Linked DNA regions of Neodiprion lecontei. Each later gene encodes a partner of the first gene's protein in a complex. Links are inferred from orthologs where the notes say so. Each region holds a gene or a part of one and is shown in the gene's direction. Other genes may lie near its edges.

What was found. Proteins that work in one complex are often made in the same cells at the same time.
Region 2: the proteins of replication protein A 70 kDa DNA-binding subunit (region 1) and DNA-directed primase/polymerase protein are in contact, whole or in part, in a crystal structure (PDB 5N85), measured with the Homo sapiens proteins. The link is inferred for Neodiprion lecontei from reciprocal best matches to the Homo sapiens genes RPA1 and PRIMPOL. Residues at the interface, in NP_002936.1 of Homo sapiens: Arg31, Pro32, Ile33, Thr34, Thr35, Arg41, Arg43, Leu53, Ser54, Ser55, Met57, Asn85, Leu87, Lys88, Arg91, Arg92, Val93, Tyr118, Asn119, Glu120; in NP_001332824.1 of Homo sapiens: Asp514, Asn515, Gly516, Ile517, Asp518, Asp519, Tyr521, Phe522, Leu523, Glu524, Ala525.

What each region holds. Positions count from the first base shown.
Region 1 is NC_060264.1:2,098,029-2,105,305, forward strand, and holds replication protein A 70 kDa DNA-binding subunit, read left to right. Parts: upstream 1-2,195; 5' UTR 2,196-2,487; coding exon 2,488-2,517; intron 2,518-2,589; coding exon 2,590-2,637; intron 2,638-2,963; coding exon 2,964-3,160; intron 3,161-3,289; coding exon 3,290-3,456; intron 3,457-3,688; coding exon 3,689-3,791; intron 3,792-3,875; coding exon 3,876-4,038; intron 4,039-4,186; coding exon 4,187-4,391; intron 4,392-4,482; coding exon 4,483-4,595; intron 4,596-4,678; coding exon 4,679-4,845; intron 4,846-4,931; coding exon 4,932-5,169; intron 5,170-5,311; coding exon 5,312-5,395; intron 5,396-5,475; coding exon 5,476-5,670; intron 5,671-5,799; coding exon 5,800-5,913; 3' UTR 5,914-6,684; downstream 6,685-7,277. Other genes in the region: ubiquitin carboxyl-terminal hydrolase 5, read right to left, coding at 1-481, 577-683, 762-938, 1,187-1,312, 1,392-1,487; ATP-dependent translocase ABCB1-like, read left to right, coding at 6,922-7,052, 7,131-7,188. UniProt on the Homo sapiens protein: As part of the heterotrimeric replication protein A complex (RPA/RP-A), binds and stabilizes single-stranded DNA intermediates that form during DNA replication or upon DNA stress.
Region 2 is NC_060265.1:27,967,380-27,973,121, forward strand, and holds DNA-directed primase/polymerase protein, read left to right. Parts: upstream 1-1,943; 5' UTR 1,944-2,178; coding exon 2,179-2,511; intron 2,512-2,590; coding exon 2,591-3,399; intron 3,400-3,526; coding exon 3,527-3,809; 3' UTR 3,810-4,550; intron 4,551-4,648; 3' UTR 4,649-5,045; downstream 5,046-5,742. Other genes in the region: stAR-related lipid transfer protein 7, mitochondrial, read right to left, coding at 5,716-5,742. UniProt on the Homo sapiens protein: DNA primase and DNA polymerase required to tolerate replication-stalling lesions by bypassing them.

The sequences.
Region 1 (7,277 bases):
CAGGTAACAGGAATTACCCAAATTAACGAGTCCCGTGTATCCAGGGCCGTAAATAGCAGTTAATTTGCTCGCAGCCTCCTGAAGTGCTACCCATTCATCAAATTTCTGATTAAGGTCCAACTCTAATTCGACCATAGATTTATCAGTCTTCTCCATATGGGTAATATTGATGCCCCAGTGTGCTAGATGCGTGATAAGATGCGGATCTTCAACCATGTCATCTTCATCGTAAGAAAAAACATCCCCTTTTCCTTCTTTGGTAATTGTTCCGAGCTTAACAGCCAAAGGGTGGCCCGTGGTGCGATAGTGTTCAATGGCATGATCATTCCCACCAGTTCCGTCATAAAACTTCCGCCCGCAGAGTATTGACCCATCGGTTAAATTGAGCCATAGGTTCGTGGTCAAATCACAGTTCTCACATTTCCAGCCGCTTGGAGGAATCTTCTTTCCATTGCCCAACTGTTTTAAATTTGCGGCATGCCTGGATAATGAAAAAATAACCTGGTTTAGCCTTGGTAATAATAATTCAGTACATGTAAAGCCAACATTATCAATTTCGTCAGTTTTGTCTATTACTTTGAAACTATTCTCGCTTCTCCGTCCCAAGTTCCAGCTAAGGCTTCTGTTTCTGCTAACTTTGAGGCAGACTCTGCTTCCAATAGAGATTTTATGGCAGTTTTAACCTGGCGAATAATTTAACGATTGATTTAAATTCTTCACTGGATACTGCTTATTTGCGCACTACTTAATATAGCACATACTTGTTCAGGCAAATCATCCTTAGGATACGGTATTGTTACATAATTGGGCAATATAACAATCTCGTAGGATTCGTCATACTCGTATTTTTTAGTATCCGGTGTGAATCCTCCCACAACCCCGATCGCTAAACGGGTTATTTTTTTCTCAGGACCATCCCCTTGCTGCTCGGCAGGTATCTGTAATACGTTATAGATAAATAGTTGGAAAAATAAGTGCCATAAATGTCAGTATCCAGAAGTATATTTTTAATTGTTGTTTCACCATCTGTTTCCACTGCATTCAACGACTCTCGTAAACATATTTAGAGAAAGACTTATACGTTATGCCTTGAGAACTTAGCCGTAACATTTTGGAATAAATTTTGCAGAATGTAACTGACGTATGGTAAGCTATAATTGAAAACAAGTAAAGGAAGCATACTTACTTCTTTTTTTGATCTCTTCAAGCGAAGAAATACAGGGTTATTGGTCCTTTGATAGTAAGCATCGACATGATCCTGACCTAGTCCCAAATATGTTGTAAGATTGAGGTAGAGTCCATTCGGCGATTCCTTGTATAGAATTTATACGATTAGACTTGATACGGAAAAATGAGAGGTACAGTGCGACAGAATAAAATATGAAACTCACTGGTGTGTCAAACGAGAAAACACATTCATCTTTATATATTTTGTCTCCCCGCTGGGGTATTTTTATTTTATTTAAGTACTGTACTAGCTCGCCCATCGTGTCAAACAGTAGATCTAATTTAATATACGTGGGAAATTAATATCAGGAGGATTCTTTACGCACTAGACAGTCCGTAGTTTCATTCTTTTTGTAAATATGATGAATATAACCAACAAATATCTAGCCGGCCACAATTGATGTCAATGATTTGCGTTAATCAAAGGGAAACCGATGTGGAACCGGAAATCAACAGTCAAGCGGCGTTTTACTGCAACACATAGTTATACCTATGTATAGTTTCAAGAGATTGTCCCGGTATGTAATAGCGAATGCGAAACCGTTGGCTATGCATTCCCAAAATTAGCTGGCAGGGCTAAAAACTTCGTATGATAGAGATACAGCTACCGCCGAATTCGGCAGTGCAAAAGAAATAAGAGATTGTTGACAGCACTGGGAGCTAACACCCGTATTCATAGTCCCTCCTTATCTCAAGGATAAAGAACGCCTTGATGAAGGCTTCCTTGAATCTCGAGGCGTCCTCGTTTCATAGTCACAACTTGGCTCTCCCTTCCAGAAGGAAGACATATTTAGGGATATGTGATTGCTTATAGTGGTAAAACTGCTGATGAGAGTGTATAACCTCAAAGAAGTTAACCTGTAAACTGGCTGTGATCGCGTCATACGGGTCATAAGTGCACAGACGCCAAGCGCAAGCGCAAGCGTTGGCGACATGAAACGAAACAGCCAATCGCAGTGCCGAAGGTTTCCTCAAGGAAGCTCGAGATCTGCCTTGAAAGAAGGAGGCCAATAAGATTCCTTATTCTGTCGAGGAAGGTCTATGAAATGTGAAATGAGGAACAAGGAATCCTTGTTATTTCATTGTTTGGCGCGAAACAACTTGTCCGGTGTCTTCGAGGCACGCTTCACCAACCTCACTTCCTTTACGTTTTAATGACACTGAGCAAGTGAATCTCCTACTCCGCATCACGGTTCTTCAAACTTTCAGAGATATTTTTTGAGAATTGAACAGGTGACCGCTTCTCGTTACTCCGGAAAAATGTACGAACTTAGTGAAGGAGCCTTGGACGTAAGTTTCCTGACGTATCTTATTAACATATTCGTGTAATAATCGTTCATGTCAATGAATTTTTTCCCACAGCAAATCATGAACGGTGTCGAGGTCGAAAAGCCGATTTTACAGATATTGGTGAGCAGATCCATTCAATATTATACGTGATTCATACACTGGATACCCATAAAACAGAATTTCATTGTTAACCATCTGCCAACAGTCACGCTGAAGCATCAATCCACCAATACTCCAATCTAATAACGATCGAACAGTCGCTTAATCCACATACTTCAATTCATTCTAATACAATTGAGATTGAATTATTCTTTTAACTATTATGATACATCCTTGAAGTAAAGCGCCTTCGTTGTCTCAGATGTTTAATATTTTGTTTTCAAACTTCCCCTGTTCTATCTACTATTTCTGGAAATTCTTGTTTCGTCATAATACTTTTCTTTCAGGGACACAAAAAGCTGCAATCGGCGAGCACTCAGGAGCGCTATCGCCTCCTAGTTTCAGATGGTAAAAGAATTAACTCATACGCGATGTTGGCTACACAGCTAAACTCGCTGATTACCAACGACCAACTGACAGAGTTTTCCGTGTGCCAAGTTAATCGATACGCAATTAGTATGATCAACAATTCAGGAACACAGAAGTAAGTTCACAGGAAAACAAGTGTTACATGTTCCATATCACTATTTTTTTTTATTAGAATCGTCGGACATATTTTTTCATGGATTGCTGATGTTTTTTCTGAATTTCGGTTTACTATTTGATCAATCAGGAGAGTGATGGTCATACTCAACATTGACGTTAAGATTCCGGGCACTGAAGTGGGCTGCAAAATAGGAAATCCTACCCAGCAAGACGGCAATGTACAGAACGGAGATTCTACTCCTGCTGCCCGATCAGCAGCGCCTGTACCAAAAACTAATAATTCCTCAAATTCTGGTAAACCGTGAAAAACACTTGTGTTATTGCATGAATCAGAATCGTCGGTATTATCCAATCTTAATTAAATACTATTTTGATACTGTTAAACACTAAAAGATTCATATTTACTTATTTCTTTTTAATTAACCTTTTTATTCTTATGTTATGCTATGGCGAAACACTATTTTTTTTTTTTTTTTTTTTTAACTGAATTTGTGGCAAAATTATATATAAATCTCACTTTTAATAGTTCGTCCTGGAAGACAGCAGCAATCTTATCTTAATGATTCAGTATCCTCTGGTGCTGGTATCTCAACTACACCGATAGAAGCCCTGAGTCCTTATCAAAACAGGTAATCATGTCATTTAGCAGTTTTAGTTTTTGTGGTGTAAAAAATATGCAACTACAAATTGAAAGTTGTGTATTTACTTAACAGGTGGGTAATCAGAGCTAGAGTAGCCAATAAGTCAGCTATAAAAACGTGGAGCAATGCACGTGGCGAAGGTTCCCTCTTTTCTATGGATTTAGTCGATGAGACTGGCGAGATTCGCTGCACTGCATTCAGAGATCAATGTGACAAATTTTACAACATGATCGAGGTATGTTCAGATTAACTCATTTTCATGCAATCATTTGTGACTACTTGTGACTACGCATTAACTTGTGACTAATATCAGTTGTTATAGTAACGTAATATATTGTTAAAATTATTCAAATTTTTTTTATCAAGTTTTTCTTTCTTACTAGTTTGGAAAAATTTACTATATTTCACGTTGTCAACTGAAGCCAGCGAACAAGCAATTCAGTAATTTGAAAAATGAATACGAGATGACAATGACATCCGAAACAGAGGTTGTTCCTTGTCACGACGATTCTGACGAGATCCCAACAGTGAAGTACGATTTTGCACCAATCAGTGAAATTGATGGAAAGGAGCCGAATGCAATAATTGGTATGTTTTTGTTATTCCCATTCACGGGCCTGTGTTAAGAAATGAGATATCAAATATTTTTTTACTCGTACTGGTATATTCTTTTTTCTAGATGTGCTTGGCGTTTGCAAATCTTGTAGTGATATCACAACTGTAGTTGCGAGGACTACAAGAAAAGAGCTTAAGAAGAGGGATGTCAATCTTGTTGACGAAAGCAATACAATGGTACCAGAAGAATTTCTAGCATATCACCACAAGTTCAACATACCTAGTAAAACTGACTAATTGTCACATCTTATTCAATTCAGGTTACTCTCACATTATGGGGAACCCAGGCGGACGAGTTTGATGGATCTTCTAATCCTGTTGTTGCCGTGAAAGGTGCACGTCTTGCCGAATTTAATGGTGGAAAATCTCTGTCTACCCTTAATTCGTCAGTGCTCCAGATTGACCCAGACATTCCCGAAGCTCATAGGTACAAACTGTCAATCTTCCGATTCTCATAGCAACAGATTTGCACACAATGAGACAGTTTGACTGAATATCATTGTTACTTATTAGGCTCCGTGGTTGGTACAACACAACTGGATGCACAGAGAATGTGCATACCATTTCTAAGGGGCTGGGCGGTGGCAGTGGGGGAATGAATGGTCCGTGGTTGACGTTCAAGGAGGCTAAAGACATGCAGCTGGGCTGCAGAGAAACTCCCGACTACTTCATCGTCAAGGCAACTATCAATATGATAAGGACTGAAAACTCTCTTTACAAAGCGTGCCCGACCGATGACTGTAAAAAAAAAGTAAGTAACTCGTGATACTGATGAAGCGCGCACATCTGGAAAAATTGCCCTTAAAAATGTCACACTTTGAAACAAATGCCTCAGTGAAAGAATAATGTACCCAAATGTAGCCCAACAATAATTTTTTTTTTCCATACAACAGCTTATCGATCAGTCCAATGAAATGTATCGTTGTGAAAAGTGTAACAGGAACTATCCAAACTTCAAATATCGACTGCTGGCCAGTGTGAGTATCAAATACAATATTAGTGTGTCAATTTCTGAGAGTGCAGTCTTGTGACTCAATCATGAATATTCTTGTCTCAGATCAATCTCGCAGACTGGACAGACAACCAATGGGTAACCGCGTTCAATGAGGAGGCTGAAAAGATTTTGGGAATGACGGCACAAGAAATTGGTGAATTGAAGGATAATGATGATGAAGCGTTTCTTGAAAAGTTCGGTGAATCTGCTTTCAAAACTTTCCTTCTCAAATTGAGAGTAAAAATGGAAAACTATAGCGTAAGTCATTCAGCTTCCATTCAAATTTGTAGGTTACTTTTTCAGGATATCAAATATAATTTTTATCCAGTTCTAAATTGGAACAACTGTTTTTCAACACCTAAGCCTAAATGCCATTTGTTTTTACAGGATGAGAACAGATTGAAGTCCACCGTAGTGAATGTGACCCCGCTGGATATTAAAAGCTACAACAATCATCTGATCGCGCAAATTAAAGAACTTTCCAACATGGGCAAGGCATAAATTTTTAGCCCAAGTTTCGATTACTTAAATGTTGAAACGTTATTGTAAGGTATTATTATTATTATTATTGTTGTTATTATTGTTATTTTCACTATACCGAGCTTGTAACAGCGGTTTGTACAATTTATGCAATGCTGATTCGGTTTAATGTTATCAATATATTAAGTTAATTTATATAAGTGTCCCATGAATATTGCTACTCTAATGAATATTTTTAATTGATCACCAATATTCCACGATCTTTGCTCTATGTGCTCGAATATATTGTACCATTTATAAATACGGTATTGTTCCGAATATACCCCGAGGTTTTTTTTTTTTTTTTGTTAGCATCCGCCAAGATCGTCCTCGTCTTATATGTAGTTAACTAAGAAAAACTCCCTCAAATACTGTCTTAGAATTGGGGGTTGGCTTGTACTCTGAACAATACGGTACATATATTTACTCGTATACTTATTAAAATAAACTTCGAATTTTGCTGTAAATTTGGTCGTATTTTAACTCGAGATACGTGAACTGAAAATCGGCAGCTATGAAGAATGTTGGCAGTTATGCTGAGGTCTGATTAGCCTGGAAATTTTCGTAGGCTCACGATCAATGATAATAACTCTAACACCCCTAATACATTTATGAGAAAGCAAGTTCTGGAACTGGTAATATTTCGTATCAAGGTCGTTTTTTTTAAATTTATGGGCATATTACTAAATAAGAAAACTTGAGAAAAATTATTTTAGAATGCTTTATAAATAAAAAATTGAAGTTAAAGGAAAATGAAAGAAGTGAATTAAACATTTTTGTCAGACAGATATTTTGCTACAAAACTGATCATATCTGATAATCTTAATTCAGCAAGTCACTTACTACATTCTGATAAGCTTATGTTTCTGACTATAAATTGACAAAGTTATTTTTCTATATCTTGATAGTGTACTGATATGACACGTGTTGCTTGGAATATCTCGTATAATATAACTTAGTATAGTGTCAGTCGACATTGACAAAACAATCATGAAGAGTTCTAAAAAATTGAAACTAACTCTGCCAGATGAAAAACGTGCAACTGAATTTCCTAACACAGATCCCATTAAAATAACAGGGTTTCGAATTAACGAACACACAATTGATGGAACTGAGAAAAGGTCAGTTATTTTGAATAATAATGAAAAGCTTGTATTACTTTATACATTGTACTTACGTTTTTACACATTAATTTTCAGCCAAACAACAGAGTTAACGAAACTCACAAAATACCGACCAATTGCATATTACAAGTTGGTAAGTATTTTATTTACTATGACTTGGTTGTTCCACCTCCCTGGTAAAATTTACCTTCTAAATAAACTGCTAAAGTGCCAATGTAATTA
Region 2 (5,742 bases), on another chromosome or scaffold:
TCTCCTCCTGAGAGCACGAAGCGTATTTAAAATATCATGATATCCTGATACGTACAAATTGTAAAAGCCACGAATTACATTTAAAAACGAATTTTCCTTGTTTCAGAAAATTGCAGGGTGTAAGGGACTCACAGAGCTATACGGCGAAATCAATTCTACGAAATTTTTACCTTGCGATCAGGCATGAAATCACGGATAAATATCGCAAAGTCTTAGTACTTAAATAAATTGCATGTGAGGCTTACCGATAGTTTGATGCTTCCAGAATATAGAATCAGTCGAATCAGCTCTCCTGATCGATCTCCAAGACATAGGCTTTGTCAGCGATGACCTTCGGCGTCGTAGAGCCGCTAGTTTTCAACAATTGAGCACGCACGTGCCTGTTGAAAATTATAAATAACGATTATAACAGCGTCAACGGGTTTGTAGTTGTTATTTTTATCGCACAATTGGCTCGCGAGTCGTACCAGTAGCGACTTGACATGCAATTTGTGAAGAACAATGACCTAGGGCTATGTAAAAACACGATTGAACTTACTGAAAGGGCAAACGTATAATGCACGCTTGTATCCACATATATACATACCTGCGTATATCACTGTAGCGATCGTATATGACTTTTCATACTCGATATAATCGTGACAAATTGAGAATGGAATGTTATAAACTGAAAAGCACACTCAACACATGATTTATCTAGGAATACACCGAAAATATTTACGGACTTGGTGTAAGAACACGGTAACGGTCCAATCGCGATCGTCATTTGTTTAGCGTAGAAAAAAGTCAGTCGCTAGCAAACCGCGTAAAAGCGAATCTTTACGTGACTTTGAATTGTTTTTTTGACGGTCAGTTACCAAGGCCAGCCCCACAGACCGGATTTGTTTGAAAAAAAACTGTTAATTTAAGTTTCTCACAAATTCGAGTCACAGGACGCGATTCCAGCACGTTCGAACTCGTCAATGTCCCGAGATTCTGTGAGTGCTCTGAAGTTAGCGCTGCAGCAGCGACGCTTGCGGGGCAAAATGACAACCGAGTTGGAATAAATTTGAAAATATAATAACTTACATGCGGACAAGGTGATGAGCAAGGCAAAGCTTGTATGTTTCATAGTTTCCTTCCGTTTATAGCCGATTACGTAGTTCTTCCTGCTTCTTTATCGTTTTAACTCGATGCTAACAATTTTTATATCATTGCAGTAGAAAGCGCTCTGTGACCAAACTTTTGGAACTAATTTTCGATGACAAAAGCATGTCGGCAATGTATTCACGAACTGACGTTATTCATTGTCAGTAAATATCGATGAATTACCGACATTCGTTTACCTTCAAATATTAGGTGCAAATACCGATTATGTTTTACAGAGCATTATTTCTCGGAAGGCGCAAAAAACCACGTACGTTTTACGCACATTTATTTATCTATCCGCAAACACCAGGCATAGAATCGATGCAGACAGCTTCCAAAATAACGCAACGAATTCACACTAACTAGCTATTTGTACAGGCCGAAAAGAAAAACATACCTTTATTGGCGAAGTACTTGCGAGAGGCTCAGATTGCTGGGATGTAAGGGCATGGTAAGAGAAGCCAAAAGGTCGGGAGAAAATTACAGTATTCTACTATGCAAACGCGAATTAACACCGGAATTTCTTAAGACGGGTCAGTAAGTAAGTAAACAAAGCAATATAATTACCGCCGGACATACTCGGTCCCACCCAGCCGGACGTTATATTAGCCCAGGACTGAACGTCTTTACAATATATTATCTTCACGCAGCCGGTGTCTGGCACCATCTGGCACGAAATGGCGTCGCACGTTTGGTTCAAAGGGGCCGCCGATATGTGACTCGTGCGAGGCATCCGCGCATGCGCGAGTCAAGTTGTGCAATTGCGTTCAGCCGGCACGTCTGCGGGGGGGGGGGGGGAGGTATACAGCTACTGCTCTCGACAGGTTCCGACAGGCAACAATCGGACTACCGACTTTGTATTCCGTCAACCCCGTCAAAACAGAGATCTAGACTCAGGCAGGTTGAAGTGTCAAAATAAAGGAAAGTTTCTGACGTAAATTAGCCAATTCTGTGTTTTGAATTATCCAACGCCCAGAAGATCAAGGTGACGAACTTGAGAAAATATTTACTTTGGAAAGTAGATAAAAATCCACCGAAAAATCAACAATAATGAGTAAAATATCGAAAAATACATTTTATGGAAAAACATTGATCGAAAGTCACGCTCAGCATCAATCTAGAGTCAGGGAATTATCGTCGTCCATACACGATAGCGAAGAAGCTAAGATTAAGCGAAGACGGTTGTTGGGACCATCTGAATTTTGGGGTGAATTTTGGAGGCAGCAAGAAGCGTTGCTTGTAGCCGATCAAGGAAGTTCAAACTCAATGCATACCTTCGTTTTGCAATATGATGAGGGATACAGAAAATTCATTGTAGCGCACCCAGAAATCTACTGGCTTGTCGATGAATCTAGACCCAAGGAGCAGAGATGTTCATACGAGGTTTGATTTTTTTTTAATAAAAAAATTAATACGACTTGACAGAGCTGAAATATTCACACACCTGTTGTTCCAATATCAGGTTATACCTGACGGCTCTCCTTGCCACCTATATTTTGATTTGGAATTTGGAAAGGATCTAAACCCATCAAGCGATGGCTCAAAAATGACAAAAACACTGATCGATGTATTTTGTGCACATTTTTTGGAACACTGGGGTTTTCCTTGCAGAAGATCAGAGGTTCTAAGCCTGGACTCAACCACCGACGTTAAATTCAGCCGGCATTTAGTGTTCCGTGTGAAAAACGTTATGTTCAAGAATAACCAACATGCAGGACGGTTTGTTAAAACCATATGCTCTAATATTCGGCAAAGTTTGTTGCTAGACAATGCCACACGATCCTCCGTTGATAATATTTTAAGCCGCTTTCACAAAGAAGATTTGGCAGAGTTATTTATCAATACCACAAAGGGAAAAGAGCTCTTTGTAGATGAAGGAGTCTACACAAGAAACAGGCACTTTCGAATTTACAAGTCTACCAAGTTGGGAAAGAATTCTCACCTGACCGTGAGCGACGATTCTGAGTACATCCTCAGCACAACATACACGAACAAAGAATTGGGATTATTCTTAGACTCTTTGATATCTTATGTACCAAGTACTAAGAATTTGATTTTACTTGAATACCAGGATAAAAATTCGGTAGACGCGATTAAATATTCCAAAGAATGCTTAAGTCAGCGTCGGGTTTATGTCAGAGCTGAGAAGAAAATTGAATCACCATATCCTGACATCGATAAATTCATCTTAGACATTGTGAAACCTGGCAAAATTCGGGAAGTCAAACTTCTGAATAACAGCGTAATGTTATATGCATTCATAGATCATAGGTAAAATTAATATTTCTTACTGGTCAAATGCTTTTGAAAATTGAATTTGATGACATAGTTCGTAACGCATTCTATAAAATTCACCAAACTTGATACATATAAATTATTCGACTTTTTTCTGTTACAGATACTGTGCGAATATAGGCAGGCCACATAAAAGCAATGGGGTATATTGGGTTGTTGATTTGAATAACAAAGTAGCATTCCAAAAGTGCTACGATCATGACTGCGCTGGCTTTAAATCTGCACCCAGAGAATTACCAGAAAAAATATGTTTCGAAATGGACAAGGAAACTGACATCCTTCTGTCCTCTGTTCCTGACCCTCAAGACTGCTCTTTGCGTCAGACTGATAATTTCGTCGCACTAGAAGATGACGATTTAGAATTAGCAAATATCGATCTACCATAATCCACAATTTAGAAATTGATTTTTCTAGCATATTCTATCTAATCATTGTACATACATACACATATGCACGTAAAATATTAATATATTCAAACATCAGCTACCTTTTGGCGTTGCCATGCAATTGTAAAAATTCAAGATTTCAACAATATGTTTTTATACTCTGTACACGGATTAAAATATAGACATCTTGATTTTTACACACCTGTTGCCATGCTATCGCATAATAATTCTGAAACCCCGATAAAATTCAACTAACAATTCTAAATCTAATCTCAACGAAAAAGCGATAAACGCTACAAAGCCGAAATTATCATAGTTCTCGACGGCGTGCCGACCCGGCTACTGAACAGCGAACGGACAGCATTTGCAATATGAAAACCAAGTCTCGATACTTTAGACATTTTACGGGTAAATCTATTAGACAAGAAAAGTTGAAAAATTGGACTAGCAATATTGAAGAACGAAGTAAATCTACGATTACTCCAATGCAACGTATGGATCAAGCGGCTCATGAATTGGCACATAAAATTATTGGAAAAGATGGGGAAAAACTCTGATTAATATTGGATCGTCGAGCGTAACGTAGTAAATTCACCGCTTCGTGTACCAAAACGGCCGCTGGTTCGATATGAAATAACGGATAGCTCGGGATGCCAAATAACCGAAATACAGATGACTCAGTACCTCAAGTAACCGAAAGCCGAAAGTTTGGTGCGCCTTCGGGAGTCGATATCAATTCAGGTGAATTCACTTGTGATAATGCTGCATAGGACGTTGCACAATTCGCACTACGCTCGGTTTGTTTTGATATTAAAGCACGTTGTATTTATTTTTTCCAGGTTCTTCTTACAACCGCGACGTGAATGCAGGTTTCAACATTTTGCATCTCAAATAGGAACACCACATCTTGGAGAAACCTCTGCCAGACGAGTTTAAATAAATTTGAATGCAGTAATGATTTATTTGTGGCGATTTATTGTACTTAATTGTATAGTATATTTCTGATGGTTTTGTATAAAGAATTTTTAGCATCGACTGTACTTTGATTACAAACTGTGACGTTTGTGTGAGAAGTACGACTCGATGATGGAAGTTTTTATGCAACATTTTGCAGTGTATCGCATTATATTGTTGTACCTTTGGCATAAAAATAGATGAATAATGCGTCTCTAGATTAAATCAATGATTTTCAAAATTCATTTCACGTCAGATGGTCTTTCTTTTTGAAATGATTCCTATAAGGTTGAAAAAGTGCAAAAGCATCGAATTACATGGCGCAGTGTCCATCCACATGAAATGATTACATGACCATAATTTAAATATTCATTATTTCTGTGTAAAACCAGAAAAATTATTCAAAATCTAACACTTAAATTGTCTATATAAGATTTAAAGCAAAATACTTCACTTGATTCAATTAAATTTGATTCGTACTATGATAGATACTATTTCAAAGCTTCTTTTCTCTCTCTCTCTTTCTCTCACACACACACACACACATTTACACTTGCACACGATTGAAATAACACTATTGCATTAACACACCTATGACAAACCAGACAAAATAGGTTTACGTTTAATAACATCTCCACTTGACCTGAACTTGATTTCCAGACGTATCAGTCGTAAAATTGAATTAACTAGAATTTTTTCCCAGTGGGACCTTGATTTGGCAGTGGTAGACTTACTAGCATGCTTCAACTTACAGTACACAATTGTTGAACAAGATCCTCCACGTTTATGAATACTGTATAAGTTCGCGAAAATAAATTCGACAAATCAGAGAGAAAACGCTTCGTCTTTAAAATGAGAATGCATTACTGATAATCTTTTCAGGTCAAGTAGCAGCAAATCTGTTTGCTAAAATTGATTTCTTCTAAACAAGGGATATATGTGGCTTATCGTGTCACGTGAACAGTCGGGACGGTAAGAA